Coturnix japonica: one gene and its partner. The protein of the gene in region 2 purifies or fractionates together with the protein of the main gene of each other region. This does not show direct contact. Links are inferred from orthologs where the notes say so. Each region holds a gene or a part of one and is shown on either strand. Other genes may lie near its edges.

The links.
Region 1: the proteins of CTCF (region 2) and RPL13 purify together in Homo sapiens (affinity purification with mass spectrometry; 3 studies listed by BioGRID and IntAct, with this or other methods). This does not show direct contact. The link is inferred for Coturnix japonica from reciprocal best matches to the Homo sapiens genes CTCF and RPL13.

The regions. Positions count from the first base shown.
Region 1 is NC_029526.1:16,692,587-16,703,190, reverse strand, and holds RPL13 (60S ribosomal protein L13), read right to left. Parts: upstream 6,752-10,604; 5' UTR 6,625-6,751; intron 6,386-6,624; 5' UTR 6,374-6,385; coding exon 6,270-6,373; intron 6,202-6,269; exon of another isoform or gene 6,120-6,201; intron 6,038-6,119; coding exon 5,896-6,037; intron 5,114-5,895; coding exon 4,940-5,113; intron 3,615-4,939; coding exon 3,558-3,614; intron 3,054-3,557; coding exon 2,895-3,053; 3' UTR 2,855-2,894; downstream 1-2,854. Other genes in the region: CPNE7 (copine-7), read right to left, coding at 799-1,023; SPG7 (paraplegin), read right to left, coding at 7,994-8,203, 9,397-9,474, 10,030-10,193. UniProt on the Homo sapiens protein: Component of the ribosome, a large ribonucleoprotein complex responsible for the synthesis of proteins in the cell.
Region 2 is NC_029526.1:1,459,142-1,469,495, forward strand, and holds the start of CTCF (transcriptional repressor CTCF), read right to left. Parts: upstream 6,358-10,354; 5' UTR 6,309-6,357; intron 5,851-6,308; exon of another isoform or gene 5,614-5,850; intron 4,493-5,613; exon of another isoform or gene 4,425-4,492; intron 1-4,424. Other genes in the region: RIPOR1 (rho family-interacting cell polarization regulator 1), read right to left, coding at 10,222-10,319.

The DNA of each region.
Region 1 (10,604 bases), about 15 Mb from region 2:
GGAATGGGGGATGCAGGGACACCAGGCAGCTGCTGGATGGACCATTAATCCGGGCAAAAGCATTTCTCTGCTCACACTGATCCTGTGGCAGAAGCACACACCACTGCAGCACCGTACCTGATACGGGAGTAAGGGCTGTCCCTGAGTGCCAGCACTGGGCCCCGGGGCACTGCACCCCCCAGGGCAAACCCCGTATCAGTGGGGCTGCAGCCATGGGGATGTCTGTGCATGTTTTGTCCTGGGCTGGTTGGACCCAGAGAGCTGCCAGCGGGCACAGGACAGAGCTGCACCAGTGGGGCCGCACCTTGCACAGGGGGCTGCATCCCATGGAGGGTCCCACACCGCTGGCTTTGGCTCCGGCTCCCAGAGTCAATTACATGCAGAGGGATTTCATGCTAAATCTGCTGGCTGAGCAGCACTGATTAGTGAGCGTGGAGCCGCTAGAGCCAGCCAGGAGCTGAGCTGGGGGGCAGCCACAGGAAGGAGCCGAGCTCCCCGTGACCCACACACGGTGTGCACCCCATTCCTGGGTGCCGCCAGAGCCACTGAGCACCAGGAGGTTCGCCCCGAGCCAAAGCCCCGCATTGTCCCCATGCACCACCCGAGCATCCCGCAGCACCCTGCCATGGGGCCATGCCCTGCACCTTGCTCCCCACACCCTTCACCCCACCCCATGCCCTGCACCTTGCACCCACTCCATGCCCCGCACCTCACGCCTGGCTCCCATCCCACAGACACCGCACCCACCCCGGCTCCATCCCTGCCCCAATCCCCATCCCTTCACCTCACCCCACCTACCTCCACCCACTGGCCCTGGGACTGCATGAGCAGCAGGACGCAGGGGTCCGACTTGTTGAGGGTGTCGCGGTCCAGGAGGTGCCGGCAGCTCACCCGCAGCTCCACCTTGGAGAGCACGGCCAGCGACGCCTGCGAGGACGGCTCGGGCGCTTCGCCCATGGTGGCTGCAGCGCGGGAGGCAGCCGGGCGAGATGGGGGGCAGGCGGCTCCGTGGGACAGAGGCATGTGGGGAACCGGGCAGCCCTACAGCCCCGCTGTCAGCACATGGGGCAGCTGCTTGTCATCCCAAGGCGGGGGGCCCCGCAGTGCCAGGTGTGGGATGGAGGCTGGGTGCTGCTGGGGATCAGCCGGCTCCTGGGGCAGGGCGGGTGCTGGGGAGCACACAGACTCTCCTTGAGGTGAAGCGGCCGGTCCTGCTGGTCCCGTGGAACCCTGCGAGGTGTCAGCACAGCGTGGGGTGAAGCACAGTTGGCCACATCGTGCTGTCACTGAGCAGAACTGCTGGTGTACCAGGGTGATGGGGGGATTCTGCCCCGCTGGGGACACACAGCCACCCTCCACCTGGATGCTGGCAGGGCTCAGCCTGGTGGTGCTGCAGCACCGGATCTGCCGCCCCATCCCCACTCCATCCCCATCCTTCCCTCACTGCATCTCCTCCATCTCATCCCCATTGTCCCCAATTACAGCACCCAGCTTCTGCCCGCTGCCCCATCCCATGCCAGGAGCTGCTGCCACCCAGCCCAAGTTTCCCCCCAAGTCACACAGGGCCATGCCCTGCCCGGCTCACAGCTCTCACTCCTGGCTCTGCTGGGCACCATCCCAGCACGGCCGCGCATCCCCCAGCAAAGGGATCCCAGTGCCCCCCCTGCCCACCCCTTACCTGGTGCTGGGCTCAGCGCTGCCGGATGATGCTGCGGCCGGTGTGTGGCAGCCGGAGCCGCGTGCCAGCCGAGCTGCGCCGCTGCCACCTCCACACAACTGACTCAAGCTGCAATTCGGGAGCGGAGCCCTAAGAGGGAGACTACAATCTCCGTTAACCACCTCGCTGCCGGCACCGGAGCGCAGCCCGCCCGCAGGCAACGAGGCTGCCAGGGGTCCCCGGCACAGCTGGCACAGCTGGCAGCACTGCAGCAGTGCCACAGCTCCAGCATCGCCCCCAGCCTCCTCCCCATCACCGCTCTGACCCCACACACCCCACGGTCCATCCCTATTCCCCACAGGGTGCCCAAGGCCCATCCCATGTAGCCCCGTATCCCCGTGATCCCCCCACTACAGGGACAGACAGAAGGATCCCAGTGATGCCGGGTCACCCGGTGCCACAGCCCCATGGCCCCCCGGTCTGATGCCCCCCTGCAGCCCCCACAGCCCCCAGCACTGCAGCGCCGTCAGCGCAGCTTTAGGAAGGGTGATATAATTAGCCCATATTCAGAGGGGATTAAAGTGCAGAGAGGGCTAAACGAGCAGGAGGGCACTGCGGGGCCTGGGCTGCGGGAGCTAATCCCACATTGCCTGGCAGAAATAGGCCACCCTCCCTCCGGCAGCACACAGCGATACCTGCACCAAACGCTGCTGCCAGCCCAGGTTTGTGCCATCGCTCAGCTCATGAGCTGACGGCTCAATCACGAGGCTGGGCAGCAAAGCTTAGAACTGCTGAGCCAGCCCAGGGCTCCAAGGAGCGGGAAGGAGCCCACGGCACCGTGACTGAGCACGGTCAGCACCGAGGGACACGGCTGGCACGGAGCTGCACCGAGCCCCGGGGCGGCTGTTCTGAGCTTTAGGGGCTCCATAAAGGCCCGGCAGAGCAGCACCAGGAGCAGAACCGCAATAGGGAGCGTCCCGGCAGCGCCCACAGCACCGAACACCGGCCCCGGCTCCACCCAGCGGCAGGAGGCAGCAAACACAGCCCCGAGCCGACACCCAGCACAGAGAACAAACCCCCCCAGACCCCACAGTGCCCGTCCCTGCAGAGCTGCCCCCAGGGACGATACCCACACAGCAGGAGGGCTGAGCTCTGGAGCAGCAACACCTGCACCCCTCATAGGACGCCACACACCGCTCTGTTTCCGTGTCTCTTTATTGACAGCTCTGAGTACAGCTCATTTCTTCTTCTCCACGTCCTGCTCTGCTGCTTCTTTGGCTCGTTTGGCTCGGATCCCAAAGAGCCGCGCGTTGGCCCGGGCCATGCGCAGGCTGGCAAAGGCCTTGAAGTTCTTCTCCTCCTCGGTGATAACACGGGCCTTCTCCCGTTTGAAAACCTAATGGCAGAGAGAGCCCGACAGTCAGCACACACATCAGGGGCTGCCAAAGGGGCCGCGCTCAAAGCCCAACACAATTAATCTCGTTATATTTCTACCACCGGCTCCAAGATGCTGCTAAGAACACAGGCTGTGTGCCCACCCCCCAGGCCCTGCCCTTATCATCACTGCAGCAGGCACCAAGTCTCCACCAGCTCCTATTTGTCAACAAGACGAGCAGAGAATACCAGGGAATAACAACAAGGCACAACCAAAGGCAAAATGAAGCGGCAGCCAGGGCTGTGGTGCAGCAACAGCAGCTGCCAGCATCAGCCTCAGAGCTCAGCAACAGCCCAATGAGCTGCACCACGGACACACAGCACGGCAATGGGGATAGCAATGGGGATGGCAATGGGCACGGCTATGGGCACGGCAGGCAGGAGCTGCCCCAGCCCCACAGGACTCTGGTTGTGGGGAGCTGCTCTGTTACACCCCACAGAGAACAAGACTGAGGGTGACACTTACGTTCCTGATGGGCATAACCGGCCCGGTGAGCTGAGTTGCCATCTTGAGTTCTTCAGGCTGCAAAACAAGAGGGAGGGGGGAAAAACACATCAGGAACAGGAATGTAACATCTCTGTGCAGCACTGAGATGAAAGACCCGCACACCGTCCTGGCCAGGGCAGCCGTGGCCGTTCAGGAGCTGCCAGCTGAAATGCTGTTGTGTCCTGGGCCATTTTTAGCTTTCCTTCAGCAATTCCTTCCACAGCCAATTCCAGCTTCTGCTGCGAGCTCGGCAGTGACAGGCATGAATAAATCAGCTATCGGGAGCTTCGAGTAAATAGGTTTGAAACACCGCTCCATAGACAAGTATCTTTATCTGCCGGTATCAGAAACAGATTGCAGCAGACAACCTGAGAGCTGCGCTCAATTCACTAAGGCACAGGTTTGTGTTGCCAGCCAATTTTAAACGAGAATAGAACGCGTTTGGCAGCCGTTCTGTGAGCTACCCACAGCAGTGGGGAACAGATCCATCTTGTGCATCAGCACCCGAGGTTCAGGAGGAGCTCTGAATTCATAATGCTCAGGTCTGCCCTCCCTGCAGCCCCTTAAGTCCCCCCATAGAGCAGCACCCTGTGGATTTACTAAGCTGACACACTCAGCTCAATCTCCACGTCCAAGCAGGACATGTATGAGCTCAGACCCTCTGTCAGACCCCCCCCTTTCCCTGCTCTGGCCCAAGCGAGCTCCAGCCCTGCAGGCAGCACCATGGGAAGCAGCTCAGGGCACACAGGGCTCTGTAGGACTAAAGGCGGCTGCAATGCTCTGCCTGGAACACGCTGCCTGGCTCCGTTACTTGCAGCTCCCCGTGGGAAGCGTGTGCTTGTAACAACAGCCAAGAACATGAGAAAAGCCAACTCTACTCTGGCTCTCGGTGAGATCTTAATGAAAACCATTTTTGTATGTCAACAGCAACAACCTTCTAGAGATTTCCTCTAATTGCTCCTTTCGCTCAACTGAGAAGCTTCTGCCTTCCCCACTCTTCCCATTGTTATAACTGCAGCAGAGCAGACACCCCGCACAACCTTTTTGTTCCAGCTTCACAAACCAATAGTGAGCTGGCCAAAACCGAGCACCTGGGGAGCTCCACGTCTGAGCTGCAGCTCCAGCAGTGCAGCACCCCCAGCCATTCCACAGCACAGACACCAGGGAGAGCCCAGCTCCAGCCCCCCCAGCCCTGAGCTGCGGGCAGTCACCCCCTGTGTACGTGTATGGAACCAACATGCCCTGCTGCTATGGGTCTGTGTTACTGCAAGTATTCAAGAACACAGCCAGGCTGACGGCCAAACCTCTGCAGCAGTGAGCAGAAACGGGCTGTCACACCTTTCTAACAGGCAGGTACTTACTGAGCTGTCTCCCTTCTTAGGTGCAGACGGTTTCCTTGGGAAGAGGATAAGCTTGGAGCGATATTCCTTCAGCCGCTGCACGTTGGCCTGCAGTGACTCTGTGGATTTGTTTCTTCTCCTGGGATCCACGGAGATTCCAATTGTCCGAGCAAACCTTTTGTTAATGCCGGCCAGCTAAAGAGAGAGCAGAGCCAGCAGTTACCACTGTGCTGCTGGAGGGAAGGACAGAGCAACCATGACGTGGGGCTGATCACAAGGCAAGGCAGCCATCCACACACAGATGGGTTTCCTGCGCAGATACAGTGGGGTGCTGAGGCTCTGACAGGCACTGGATTAAGTGATTTAGTCAGCACAAGGATAACCGTGGTGCACAGAATGCTGAGCGCTGCATTACAGAAACACTTTGGTGATGCTAAGTGACAGCCCTGCTTTGTGTTTAACTGCATACAGCCCTGTGCCATTTTGTGCTGCCATCAGCATTACCCGAGATTAAAGAACAGCAAAGTAACGAGGAACTCGGCGTTAAAAGCCCAATCTTACTGCTTTAATGCACCAATTTCACTGCTGTGTCCTTATTAGATTCTAAACAAGACACCAGGGGAGGCTGCCCAGCATGTACTGCAGGGAGCACAGCACACAGTGTGAAGCAGGTGATGGTGCTGGAGCCCTTAAGGTGACCGGAAGCTGCTTGCTTATTTAAAGTGAAGTTCAGGAGCCTCAATTCAAGCTGTGTCTGAATGTGATATTAAACAAACCGTGGTACCTGCCAGCCCAATCAGAGGCACAGCAACATTCCCTCTTCAAACCAGCCTTTAGCTGACACACATCACTCCTCCCCCAACCCACAGCTGCTGAACGCAGGCAGACACAGAGCTGGACTCAACCATCATTCAGATGGAACCCAATTGAAGGTCCATGGTGAGTCTTATCAGTGACCATCAGCTCTCCGTACTCACTTTAAGCTCCTCCAGGCTGAAGCCTCTTCCAGCACGAACTTTTTTGTGGTATCTGATGGTCGGGCACCTGACGATGGGTCGGATGGGCCCAGCCGCGGGGCGGGGGGCGATGCGACGAGCTTTAGCCTGGCGGGCCTTCCTCCTGCGGGGGAACAGCGGTCAGAGACACGGAATGATGGCAGGGATCAGATCGCTGTGTCCCCCTGCAGGGACAGAGCCCTGCGGACAACCCCGACCGCAGCCATCAGCCATGAAGGGTTCGAGGACTCATCAATGCCGTACAGCGATTCCGGAGACGTTTCATCACTTGGCTGCGGCCGAACAACGCGAGGAGGGACCCGGCCCCACCCGGCCCAGCTCGGCTCTGCTCTCACCTGCGGATCTTCCGCGCGGGCTGGTTGAACCATGTGGCCACTCTCCGCTGCCAGTCCTTATGGAAGTGCGGCTTCAGGATCATCCCATTGCGGCTGGGCGCCATGGCTGCTGCGGCCTAAGGACACGGGCAGCGCTACACGAGGCCGCCGGGGAAGGCCCGGAGCAGGCCCAGGCCCAGCCCCCATCGGAGCCCCCCTCACGGCCCTGCCCCATCCCCCCGAGCCGCCCCGGTTCCGGAGCAGAGCTACGAGCGGCCCCCGAGCGCTGCCGGGCCCGGCGCGGCCCCCGGTGGGCGGATGGCGGCGGATGGCGGCGGATGGAGCCCGGCCCGAGCGCGGACACGGCGACACTCACCTCCCGCCGAGGAAAATGGCCGACCGGAAAAGGAAGCGGCGGCGCGGCGCACGCCGGAAGTGTGGTAGCAGCGGCCAATAGGGAGAGCCGTACGTACGGCCCAATGAGAACCACGCTTCCGGAAATGTCCGGAAGCGGCTTCACCGCACCCGAAGTAAAGATGGCGGCGATCTTAAAGGGGCCGCGCACTGCTTACCGCACCGCACACCCCACGCCGCGAGTGGGCAGCGGGTTCGGTGCTGCTGCCACGGCTCCCACCCAGAGCAGCACACACGGCACTGAGCGCAGCCACCACCCAACCTTGGCGGAGGTTGGACCCGCTGCAGCCTCACCCTGCAGGGCAGTACCGCCAGGTGGCACGGCAGCACGGGGAGCAGCGGCACAGCGCCATCAGCACAGCCACAACCGGCATCCGTGTGTCACAGCGTTTATTGAGGCAGCCCGGAGCTCAGGCATCGTGTTACAAATAGAACCAGCTCCTACACACATACAAAGAATGAGCTCCTGTAAGGAAACAGAGGCCTGAAAGAAACAACAACAACAACAACATGGGCAACAATTCGGTGTAATAGCATCCCCAGCTGTTTCTGCTCAACAGGGCAGTGTCCAAACCATGGGCACCCAGCAGGGCCATGTTGGCACCCTGTGTTCAGTGCCATGCAGGTCACCCTCCTCCCTGCCCCCAAGGGAGGGCTCAGCTCCAGCTCAGTCAGTTCTTTATGGAACAGCTCCATTCAAGAACCCTTCCTGAAGGGCCTGACCCAGCCGGAGCACAGCAGGCAACAAGAATCACTTCAGTGCTTCCCCTGCTGAACAGCAGCCCACCATTCCATCACTGCGTGCTCTGCAATGCCGTGAGGACAGGCAGCAGAACTGCCTGGTTTGTGTAGATGCACCCAGGACTCACACCTGCAAACAAGCAGCGCTGCTCTGCCAGCTCACAATGGAGCCATTCCCTGCAGTGCTGGCTCCGAACAACTCACCATCAGGTTCTGCTGGGTTATGAACACAGCTTCCCTCACTCTCTGCTTCTGAAACCCTTGATGTAAAAATGGAACAGAAACTATCAATCAGGGAAAAGAAAGCCCACATCCTACAAGAAGGCATACACTGCCTGTGTAAACAGGTTCTTTCCAGCTTCTTACCCAACTCCTAATCACTAATATCCTGCTGAGAATCAATTTCAGAATCCTAAGTTCTCCTCCCTGAAGGTTAAAGCTTGTGTTACAAGACTAAACGTGGCCATTCCTTTAATTTCAAGGAAACAGCATCACAGAGATGCCCTGCTCTTTATTTTTGATTCCAGAGCTGAGAAGCTGTGTTCAAAAGACGCTTCTGGAGTCCTCCCATTCTGCACCAGGACAGGGCTTCACACCGGCCTCAGGCGCGGCTCTTCCTCCTCCTCATGGTTTGGTGGCTGCTGGGGCATTTCTTCATCTCTAGTGTCTTGCTTGTCTCTCTCTGCTTGAAGCCAGCTCTGGGGTGCTATCATTTTCTTTGGCCCATAGGGTGGAGGTCCAATCAAAGCTTCAATGTCATCGTAATTTATCACTTCTTTCTCCAGCAGGGCATTAGACAGCTAGAAAGAGTACATAAGGCATAATAAGGCACAGAGGTTTGAAAACTGATCTGAGCTCACCCTATCAGCTCAACTTGGACCTTAACATCTGGACACAGCACATGCTGGAGCCCACGAGGAGCAGAGCCCGGCTACCACACCACAGACAGCGTGACCTGGAGCAGAACAAAGCTCTGCAGACACCAGCATCTCTCACAAGAGTGGGGCTTTTTTTGCCAGAAACACCCAGTGTAACTGGAGGCAATAAAGTACGCTGCTCTAGGGAATGATTTGGAGAGTCGGAACACCAGGGGCAATTAGAGAAGTGCCCTTACTGCCACTGTTGCTGCACCTGTGGCCTTGCCTAAGATGCCACAGTAACAGGCATTGAGACTGGAGCCAGACTCATACTCCTCTGTACATAAATAACATGACACAGAGATAACAAAGAGCTGTTTTGTTCTTGCAGGCTGAAGGTCATTAGAAGGTCCTCCCCAGAAAGTTAAATTCTCTGGTCCCTCTGCCAGCAGAAGGACCACGCTTGAGCAGCAGGTGGCCCTCAAACATGGAATTGCTCAGTTCTGCTGACAAGATGTGACACACTGACCTGGCAAATGCAACGCTCTGTAGATATTTTGGCTTAACTTAAAAGTTTTTCCTGTGATGAGCCTCTAGCAAACATCTGATTGTTGTTAAATGAAAGCATCAGAACAGAGGAGGCCTGCAGAGAGGACAGCCCCCAACAATGCCTGCCTTCAGAGCACTGCTGGGGCACTGCCCTGGGGACAGAACTGTGATATGGGCAACAGCAGGGTGCCGAAGCAAACAAGTTCAGGACACCTTACTATGCACAAGGAAGCCTGCTGGTGGGTAGGTGGAAGTGGCTGTTTTTCTGCTGTTGTTTAAAAAGAGATCCTGGAAGGGAGCTGAGTGGCCAGGGGACTCCCCAGGCACAAAGCAGAGGAGACAAAGCTCTACTTCTGCAATAAGGCCTCCTTCATATATTGAGTATCAAGGAGCTGGCAGGTGAAAATTGCCTGGAGGTACCTGGAAAGCACCAGTCTACCAATTCAGCAGTCCCAAAACAAGCCCTGGAATCCCCATTACAAGGCATTCTAGGACCACAGAGACACTGCTACAACCAAGCTACAGAGCACAGAAAGTATCAAGGCCAAAACCAACAGTTGAAGGAACTCCACCTAACTTCAGCTTACCGTTTGCAACTTATCTCGGTTGTCCAATAGGAGTTTTTCCGTGCGTCTGTAGGCCTGAGCCACCAGCACTTTTGCTTCCTAGAAGATAAGAAGAGAGATTTGTATTGCAAGTGGACAAAAAAGGAGGAGAGACCTCCACACAGCAGAACCTTTCCTTCCCTGGTTATCTGTCCTCAGTTCCATAACAATGCTCCCCCCCCAGCTCCATCTCCTTCAAGTTATTCTTTCTCCCCACTCTGCAGAGCATTTCTCCCCCTTTCCAAGTCACATCTATACCTCCCACAAGCTCTCCAGGGTCTTGTCCACAAAAGAATCAAGACTGCAGCTTTCACACTGCAATGGATAGAACAGACTGTATTTCACAACCACTCACGGCAGCTCCAGGCAGCGCAGTGCTGCTGGGCTGAACTCACAGCTGTGTGTGACTTTGTTCTTAATGCCTCGCTGAGCAGTCCTCATACACAGAACAGTACCAGGCTAACAGAGTATCTCAGTGCTCAGTTGTTGAATTTTACTACTTAATGGCTGAACAAAAAAGAAAATGCAAAGCATTTGGGTACAAGTTCCATGCAATTTTCAATGAGGACAGAAAGTAAAGAACAAAGAGGAACAGGTGACCAGGAGCAGCCTTACGTGGTCCATCATCTGCTGAAGGCTCTGGCTGAAAGGGCGACGGCCAATTCCAACAGTGCTGTCCCCATCCGGAAAGGAGATCTGCCCGATGCTGGGCACCATCCCATACTGCTTCACCATGGAGTAGGCTATCTTGGTCACCCTCTTCAGGTCATCCTGCGCTCCTGGGCGAGACAGACAGAAGGAAGGTACAGCAGGTCTGAGATGAGAGCAAGAGGAGTATGTCCAGCACAGACACACAATCCACCAGTCAAGAGATTAGAGGACCTGCAGGAATCCATGAATGTGAGCACTTTACCTCACTGTGTGCATTGCAGGACAATGAGTGATATACTGGTAGCTAGCTCATATGGACTGCTTACCTGCCACTGCTCCACTCTTATCCTGTTTAGCTATAAATGGTTGGAACTAAGGCACAGAAATCTCCAGGCTCTTCCACCTGCCAAGAGTCTCACTGTGTAATTGCATCTGTAGCCTCAGGCTTTGGGACAAGTCTGAGACTACACAGTTGGAATCCACAATAAGAGGCCTTCACGCTCACAGTCCCAAGTCCGAGATTAAAACAAGCACTGTGA
Region 2 (10,354 bases):
ACAAAGACCCAGTGCCATCTCCTCGCTTGGAGCTGCTTCAGGAGGACAGAACAGTTTCAATACACACATCAGGAACCAAGTATCAACTACTGTGGGCTCACACAACACTCCAACAGCCACAAGGGTTAGCAGAGCAGGTAAGAGTTAACAACAGTCACCACTGAGCAGGAGGGAGCACATTAACATGGAAGTCAGGCAGGGATCAAGGAACCAGTGTGCACCTTTGGTGCATTCAATATAAGCACAAGAATCAATAGATTCCTCCTTAAAGATGAGAAATTGCACTAAGTTATACACTCAGCAGGCATCCCCAATGCAAACAGCCTAGCACATAAAAGAAAGCTACCAGTTTAAAACACATCACTTCTAAGACAAGCAGGTACAACCCAATTCAGGGGCAATTTTGAATCCTGACCCACTGTCTCCAAAATCTCTATCAGCTGGGATGTATTTCCTCTGTTTCCTTCTCCTACCAACCGCGGGCTCACCACAGGACTCACTGTGTCCACCTAAAAAGCAGGCCTGGCCTCAGTGCTAGAAACCACACTGCAGAATAGCTACCACTGCACACAGCCTGGAATCCTGAAGGGAAAAAAAACCACCAACAAACCACAAAACTGAAAAGCACTTGTTTTCTTGAATTACCCTGCTTGGCCTCATACAAACAGCCAGGAGAATCTCGAGCTTGAGAAGCACTGAAGCTACCAGCCAGAAGACCACACGGGTTATATTCAAGTTTGCTCTGCAGCTGAAATGATTCAAGCTAACTCTTCCCCATTCCCATCTTTTTAATGCATGTAAGACAGGGAAAGCACTTTGAGATGACAGCCATCTTCACAGCTCAGCCTGCTGTCATGGGCTGATCATGACACAGGAGAGCTCAGAGAGTCAAATACTCCCATCTCTGGGCATCATCATAACTTGAAATTACCTGTTGTTGTGTCTGAACTGAAATAATTTCCAGTTGTTGCCAATCTCAATGCAAAGACGTTAAGAAATAGGAAGAACAGTGGTGCATTTCTCCATCACACAGCCCAAAGGTTCATCGTGTCCTCTATGAAAACAACTTACATCACGTGCATTGAATCCATCTGCCTACAAATTCTTGTTGTTGAACGTGCCAACAAGAGTAAAGCAGCTGGCTGGTCTCCTTGGCAGGACAGTAGCAGGGATATCAGAGGACTGATCAAACCACCTCTGGGTTTTGCACAGTGAAGCACCATTCCACTGCACAGCACCATTTCCCAGCTCCCTGGGAGTCTATTTCCCCTTGCAGTTCAGTATTTGTTCCCTTATTTTTGCTCTAAGTTCTGACAGCAGAGCTATATTCTGTGTCTTGGTAGTGACTTCACCTCACAGGTAAGCATGCCAGCTCTGCTCACTCCATTAAAGCACCTGACAACGACATTAGCTTCTCTGCTGCAGCATCACCTTGGAAATCCACATTTAAGCTGTTTATCCACTTGACTCCCAAAACACAGCTCCGACACAGTGTTCTAGGATGCCATTGGTCTCAATTCAAACTCACCACATTGCCACGCTCCCAGATGGGCAGTTTTACACGCTGCAGCTTTGACACACACTTGGAATGTTTCAGCTCTGCCTCACTGCCTTATCGCTGGCTGCCACGCCATCAATCACCATTTTATCACACGTAGGTTTCAAACTGGACATTCTGTACTAACAAGAATCAGTAATGGAAAGCAGTGACAAGGACTATTCCTCAACTAACCCAAACTGGACAGCAGTCACTAATTTTATGCACTGGTTTTCATTCTGTGAGGTTCTCAAGACAGGTTTACCAAAGTTGAACTTACCAAGCTTTGGTTAAGTTTGCCTCCTTTTATACCAACACATCAGCATTTCCTCCAATTTCCTGCACTTTCTCTGCTATTCCAAAGTGCTTCACCTACCCAGTAGCCCTTCATTGGTACCACCAGGGATGCTCCAGTGATCCAAGTGGGAAGGAATGTGCTGGCCATCCCCATCCCAACATACATCTGAAATCCCTCCGCTTTTTAAGATAGAAGCTTTCAGAACAGCAACCTATTTCTAAATACCTCTAGGGATAATAAGCATAGCTGTGACTTCCCAATTAAGGTAAAGTAACTCGGTCCAGTTATATAACAGATGTTACTTCTCCTCTGGCTCACAGAGCTGCTTTACCTGCTGATGTTTCAGAGACATACAAGCTTCTAATCTTCACGCATATTAATACAGACAAAGGTATATGTCACGCTGTGCTTTGGCTTCCATTTTGTTAGAATCTGATGCACTCAACATAAATTTCTAGATTCTGGGAAGAAAAGAAGAGGTAAAATAAGACTTTAAGTATTAACTGAGCTTGGTTCACAGCCTCTTTATGTGGCCTTTACACTTGAGTGGCTTTAGAAATGTTAGGGGTTTGTTTTTGCAGCAGGGAATGAAGGGGATTGGGACAACTCAGTGACAAAACAGGATGTATGTGGGCAGCAAGGGCAGCACCCAGCTGCACTGCAGTCCCTGCCTGCACTCCCAGGGCAGCAAACATATCCTAAAGGAGTAAAACCTGGGAGGGTCCCTAAAACCAGACCTGTATGTAAAGAGTGCAGCTACACACAGCCAAGAGACAGCGTTATACACAGTCCTCTATAGGGACAGCTGAAGAACAGCTCTTCAAGATCCTTTTCTATCACACGTCTCCCGAGTGATGCATGTTAATGGCACATTTCTTGAGAACAGCCTCTGTGCTATTTCTGTGCTTTCACCCGCTAACAACCATATTGGAAAGACATTAAGATTTGATCTCTCCCAAGTCTTTATACTGAAAGAAGACTTCTGTTTGCATTAGACATCGAGATTGGATTGTTCAGTGTACCTGAACATTAACACGAGCTGAAAAATACAACTCCCCACCCACCTCGTGTGTACTCTACTCTCCTTTCCAAGGTTATTTCTGTTAACCAAAAAAATACTGAGATCACTGAGCCCAGCAGCTATTTGGTTTACTTATTAAGCATGCCTAGAATAAGCACACGCCATACAACTGCTGAAGAGTGACAGATAATTGGAGAGGAGGAGGAGGAGCAGCAGTGCTTTAACTGAAACCAGAGCATCCTTCAGTACAAAAAGAAAGCAACATCTTGAGTTACAGTCCATATAGGAAGGGTTCTAAGTTTCAGCCCCAAAAAACAAGCCACAAGAGCAGTGATCTGAGCCATTTACATGAGCAGTAAATATAATTTTGACCAATATAAAAAGGGATATTCACATATCTATGTGCAGAGCTCATGCAGCATTAGGTAGAAGCTGTACTGAAGCACCAAGGGTTGGTCCAACAGGCTGTGCAAGGCATCCAAACCTTCCAGAGCAACCAACAGGGCCTGCAGCTGAGCACAGGTCAGTACATTAACACAACTACTGTGCTTGCTTCCAGCTCCACAGCAAAAGCAGAAGCCCAGCAGCTGAGACACCACATGCTGCTGTGGTTGTGGCTGCTCCTCATGGTTAAGGATTTATAGAGCACACAGCGATCCCAATGCTCTGCTGCTCTCTCGAGCATTCAATCTCTACTAAACACTACGTAAGAGAAGCAAAAGTAGCCAAAGGTAGAATCAATTTGTGTGCAAAGCTTTTAGGACTATAATAAGGGCAGGAGAAGCCCTGAACCTCAATGCATGGCTTGTTGGTGGGCTCTCAGCTACACCTCTGCCAGATCCAAGGCCAGGGAACAACCCCCCTTGCAGACACACAGAGGAGAAAGCAGCAGCATGGAAGGAATTTGCTTTTTCTTCCTTTATACAATGTTCAGTGCTGGTTTCTCCAGTACTTGTGATGCCCCTCATTCATTTGCACAGCAACAGTAACTTTGGCCTTGTTCTCTCCCTGCCCAAATTACAGGTTATGGCTTTGTGTGCTTTTGGTTTTTTTCTTTTCCCCTCAGAAATAACCAACAAACCAAAAACAGAGCAGGAAGAGCTGAGCACAACTCGATCCCACAAGCAGTGATCAATCTGCCCAGGTACAGAGCATAAGGGCAAGGAACACGCTGGCTCTTCAAAGAGCAAAGAGCCCAGCAACACTCCCCACCTCCCTTCCAAAACCATCAGGAGAAAAGCAGGATATTAAGCACTACAGGGAAGAAATTCTTAAGTGATTAATAGTATACAAACAACACAGGTCAGCTTCTGGCCTTTACAGACTGAAGTATCAGGTAGCTACTGACCCGCAGCCACAAAGCCTGGTAGCAACACACATCCCAGCTCACAGCCAAGGCACAGGCTGCCAGCACCAGGAGCTGTGCCTGGATTAGCTCTTTCCCTTGCTGACGGCGTGGGCAGGAGCTGCAGCAGGCTCAGCACTGGAGTGACAGCTCAGCAAACTCCCTGAGCCATGTTAGTTCAGCTGCAGGGCCACCGGGGAGTAGAGCAAGTGCAATTCTGCACCTTTTGACTCTGACGTCGTGCCTCAAAAATATCCCGCGAGGAGCTTCGTGAGCGTTAAGGAAATCATTCGCTGCATCTTCCTTATAAATACAGAAGATATTAATACTGAGTTAGAAACATAGAATCATTAAGGTTCAAAAAGACCACTAAGATCACCACGTCCAACCTCAATCCATCCACACTGACAGCATCACGTCCCTCAGTGCCATATCCCCGTGGTTCTGGACCACCTTAAGGTTGGGGGCTCCACCACCTCCCTGGACAGCTGTGCCGCTAATAAGAGAATAACTGTATCCAACTGAAATTGCATAGGGCAGCAAGGGGACATAGAGACAGAGTCCTTCTTACATTATGGTGTCTGATAGTTTGGAGGTGCTGCCATACCTGCCATTGGGGTGACAGCCCCCATCCAAAGGCATTCAAGGAGCTCTCCAAAACAGGAGTGCAGCCCTTAAAGGACTTGCAAAACGCAGTCCAAAGAGAAAAGCAAAATGAAAGTAAGAAAAACGACCATCCTATGGAAAAAAAAGAAAGCATTGCTTGGTTCATATGCTCAAGACCTTCTTTGGTCCTCATGGTTTCTCCTGCACTAACATAGAAGGTAAAATGGGACTGAAGGAAGAATTCAGAGCCACTCCTCATGCCCAAAAGACAGCCACCAGTTCAACAGGCTCAGCACGAGCAAAGCGTGGGACCTGAGAAAGCACTTAAACACTTCCTGCACGGAACCAAATCTCAAGGCTGTACACACGGAGCAGCTCAGGCACTGTTAACAACACCTCTGGGGTTCATTAGCAACTGGCAGCAAACAGGGAGTGGAGGGGGGGGGGGGGGGGGGGGGGAGCAAAAGACCGGGTAAAAAATAGGAAGTCAGCAACAGGAAAGCGGGTGTGCTCTCAGCAGCAGTGCTAAGGGCTGAGTCCTGGGGACGGCCACAAGGAACAAAATGAAGGCAGACTGATGGCATCTGGAGCTCTAAGCACGGCAGGAAACATCAAGTTGATGCAGGGCGCAGAATTGTGTGCTATCGCCCCTTTTGTACGATTCAAAGCAGCGATATCCACGGGTTGGGGGGGGTGGAGGATCACATTTTGCAGTACGTTTTCTAGCTCGGAGCCGAGGCCTGCAAGGAGGGGGGGGGTGGGGGGAAGCGGGAGGGCAGCGAGGCGAGAGCGGGCGCCCCCCAGCCGTGCCAGGGCCGGCGCTGCATGGCGCTGCTCAGCCTGCCTTGCAGAGGGAGCTCGAGTCCCGCTCTGCGCCTCGCAGCGCCTCTCCCTCCGCAGCGCACACGGCGGCAGCGCAGCGAGGTGGCGGCAGGAAGGGGCTGCGGGCCGGGCCGGGCCAACAGAACCGCCGCAACGCTCCGCTCCGGCTCCGAAACCCCACGAGGAGCTGGAGGAGGGAGAAAAGAGAGAGCCCCGAGGAGGTGGGAGATGGGGAGGAGGAAGCGGGGGCGGGGGTATGGGGGGGGGAAAAGCAAGAGCGGCCGAACGGGGGGAGCGGGCCGGCGCGGAACGCGGGGCGGGGAGGGAGGGGAGGAGGGAGGGAAAGGGAAGGAGAAAGGAGGGAAGGGGGGGGAGGGGGGGGGCGGCGGTTCGCGTGGCGGGAGGGGGGCGGCCGGCGGGCCCCGGTGGGGCGGCGGGGAGACAAAGGGAGGAAAATAGGCGGCCGCCAGGGGCCGGGCGGGCCGCGGCCCAGCGCCGCGCTGTGGGGAACGGCGGCGGTGGCAGCGGGCAGGCGCGGGCCGCGCTGGGGACGATAGAGGGAGACAAAGCCCCCTGCTTCCCCGGCGGCGGCCGCTGCGGGGCCCCAGCCGGCGCGGAGCCCCATCGTGACACCTAGAGGCCGGAGAAAGCGACTGCAAACCCCCCGCTCACCGCTTACCTGCGCCCGCGCCCCCGCCGGGCTCCGCTCCCGGCGCCGAGGCCCCGCCGCACGCCGCCCCGCAGCCCGGCCCGGGCCCCGCCGAGCCGCCTTTCCCGTCGCGCCCCGCCGCGGCCCGGCCGCTCGCGCCCAGCACCAGCTCGAGGTTTAATCGCTCCACAGTCGCTTCGGACACAAAATGGCGGCGGGCGGGGCGGAGTGCGCATGCGCGAGCGCGGCTGCCGCGGACCGCCGGCTGGAGCGGGGGGGGGAGGGAGAGGAAAGGGGGGGGGAGGGGACGGCGCGCGCGGGGAAGCGGCAGCGCGCGGGGCATGATGGGAGGGAGGGGCGGGGCGGGGCGCGCGCCAACTTCAAACGCGGGCCTGCGGCCGCGGCGTCACCTCGCGTGCGTGTGTGCGTGCGTGCGTCACGTGGGGGCGGGGTCACGTCGCGCTGAGGGGAGGCCGCGCCCCGCCCCGCCCTGAGGGAGTGCGGAGTTCTCCACAGAGCGAGATGGGTTGGGACCCAGCACGGCCCTGCCCTGCAAGGGCTCTAAGTACTCACACACACCACGTCGGGAGTAACTGGCTGCTCATGTTCCATCTGCCTCTTGCTGGGAGCTGTCCTATGGCAGGTGCTGCATGTCCTTTGTGTGAGGAAGCAGAGACACGTTCTCCTGGCCTTTGCTTGGCAGAGATGCCTGAAAGCATCCACCGCTGTGTGCTGGGTACGGCTGAACCCTGGGCCTCGGGTCCCTCCATCACAGGCGCTTTGGAGCTGATTCGCATGGGATCCTTTGCAATGCATTCAGCATCCTGAACATCACCCTCCACGTTACACACCCAGAGGCAGATGTTGCTCAGGCATCAAAATCTGGCTCATTTCTCAGGCTTGAGACTCAGGTCACAGCTTGTGATGCCCCAAAGAGGCAGCGGCTCCTTGGGGTTGTTCTGCTTGGTGTTCTTGGGGTCACTGAATGTGATGTCCTGAGCTTTGCCAGCCCTAATGCTCCCCAAAGAGAGGATGTGTTGGCTGGTTGTTATTTGCTGGTACAAAAAGGCTGTGCACTCCTTTATTTACAAGGGAAACAGCAGTAAATGGGGTGAAGGAAAAAGCTTCTCAGAGCATGTGAGTAATGTAACCATGACACAGACACCTTCCCACGGGCTGCAGCTCCTGCAAAAAAGCAAGTGGCTGCAACAGTCATTGGTGCTGCTGAGCAGCACATCCGTGAGAGGGGTTTGAAGTGCTGACACATTGGGCTGACAGACATGGTGCTGGAGCACTGTCTCCTTTGAAACAGCAAGAATGCTGCTGCACAGTGCATATTCCTGCATAAGGGCTGGAGGGAAAAGTTCAGTCCTCCCTTTCCCATCACCAGTGCATCCTTGGTGATGCTATTGCAAGCTCATTCAGAACAAGGGGCTGGGCAATGCATTCCTAAATTGACTCATATATGTATATATATTTATTTTTTTTCCCCTAGATGATGTTAAAGCCACACAAATGAGGTTATTCCTATGAGTTCCAGGAGCAGAGTCATTTTGTCCTGACGTGCAGCACCCTGCCTGCCCTGACAGAAGGCTGCTTCCCTGCTCCAGTCTCTGCAGCCAAGGTACAGCTTATCCTGGAAGATGGTATTCTGCTGCAGGGATGGGGCCAGGCTTTGGCAGAGCAAGAACACCCACATAAGCTGCTGGAGCACTGAGCTGTTCTTATTTCCAGAGGTTAGTCAAGGGAAAAAGAAAGAACGCCAAACATAGAAGTCTGGGCCACTTATTACCTGCAGGGTATTCCTGTCCACAGCTATTACCCAACATGTGCCAGCCAAGACCCCTATCCTCACTCTGGGTCCCAGGTACCCAGCACAGACCTGGGTGGCAGAGAGCTGAAAAGAGCTGCCCTGAGTGGCCTCCTGGCCTCGCAGGCTTATGGTACTAAAGCACACCCCAGTAATGAGAGATGCCTGGGTGCCCTTGCTGCTGACATGGTGCTTCCTATCTCCTTACAAGGAAGCAGATGTCCCATCTGGGGCACCCTGTGTGCCATGGTATGCTGTCATCCCTTTTGCATGCTCTTACAATGCACCACCACTTGCAGCCCCCTACCAAAACAGAACAACCCAAGAGCCTGAGCTCCTTGGTACCTCTGGGTCCCCTGTGAGGGCAGCGCAGGCAGGCAGAGCCAGCAGGATAAGAACATGGAGTCTGAGGCAGCCTGACAAAGGACCTTTAGTAAGAACAGAGGTCCTGGAGGCTGCGAGCTGCTGGGCTTTGCTAAGAAACCCACTGAGATGCTGCTGGCCCCAGGGGTCCTTGCTTCTGCTGGCTGATGGGGCATTTTGCTGCTTTATCCTACTCAGAACTGTGAGGGCTGCTAAGGTGATTAAGAGATTGGAGCATCTGCCATATAAAAAACAGGCTGGAAGAATGAAGGCTTGGAGTGGTTCTTATCCACGTCTCTCAACACTTAGTGGTGGGTAAAGAAGACAGGCAGATTCTCCTTAGCGGCACCCAGTGACAGAATGAGAGCCATAGTGATAATAAAATGCAGGATTTCCATTTAAACTAAAGAAATGCTTTTTTCCTGTGAGGGTGGCTGAATACTGAAACAGGTGGTATAGCAGCATTCTGTCATCTCCATCCTCAGAAACAGTCAAAACCCAACACGACATGGCCCTGAGCAGCCTGCTCAAGCTAACACCATATTGAGCAGGGGGGAATGGAAGGCTGTGTTCACTGTGTTCAGAGGTCCCTTCCCAGCTCAACTCCATAATTCCTTGATCCGCTGTGGCTCAGTATCACTGTGATGAGACATACACAGTCCTACTGCTCTCACTTCCAGCCATTGCCTCCTTCCTCTGGGGCAGGTCAGGACTTCCCTGTGCTGAGTATGTGACCCTGCTCTGCCCATTGCAGCATGGCACCTTCTTATGCTCTGCAGCATCTTGATAACTCAGAGAGCTCAGGGGAAGCAAGAACTCCTTTCACTGCTACGAGAGATGCCTGTCTCACTGTTGGTAAAAGCAGAAGGTTGATCCTCAGCTGAGAAACATCCAACTTGGTCAATCCAGCTCCCTGCCCCTCGGCACCCACGCAACACCAACGCTCTTTTAAAGGTTTGCTTTTATTTCTGCTTTTAAAATCAAAATTAGTCATTCTCTGTAATTACATTATATATATAGATTTATAGAGACATTATAGAAAAAGAATTTGTTGCTTTCCTCCTGCAAACAAAAAAAACAGTAAATAAAAAATAAACCAACAAGGAAAAGGTGGCAGTGTCCATCTGTCCGTCCCTCTGTCGCTCCTCCTGCCCCTGCCCTCCCCAGCAGAGGGGAAGGGCTCTGGGCTGGGGCTGTGCCTCACTGTGCTCCAACATGGGGAGGGACAGGAGCATGCGGAGCTGGAAAGAAGAAACGCCAGCAGAATATATTAATATTATCTCATATCTCATTTTATTTAAGTCCTGCGGACTTCCAGGTGTGGCAAAAGGGGCAGCAGTTCCTTCCCAGCTCAGGCGACTTCTGGAAAGAAACAGCATCGCTTCCAAAGTGTTGGTCCTTCCAGGACAGGGCACGTGTCCCCAAGCAACTGGAAGGCAAGAGGCGGAGGAATCCAGTGCGTCTCCCTGCCGCTCCGATCCCAGCAGCTGTAGCACGAAGGGTGGGTTCCCTGTGTGTTTTCAATAGCAGTCGAAGGGTTGGGGTGTGCAGCGAGCCCCTCCTCGCACAGGGGTGTATGTGTGGCACCCCTTGTGGCTGGTGCTTGGGGCAGGGGAAGCGGTGCTCCATAAGGCAGTGTGCGGCCGCGGCGAGCGTGATGCTGCGGTGCTGCTGTGAGCAGGGCCGGTGGCTGGGCCCAGTCTGTGAGCCCGTGTGCAGCCCAGCAGTGCCTTTGTCCTCAAGGGATAGCAGGTGGCTCCGTGCGGCATCTCAGAAAGCTGTGCTGGCCATGCTGGCTGGTGCAAAGATCCGGGGGAGGCTGTCCAGGGTCTCCTCCAGTCGCCGGTGTGCTGATTTGCCATCTTCCCCTGCAAGCAATTGCCATAGTCAGTGAAGCAAAGGG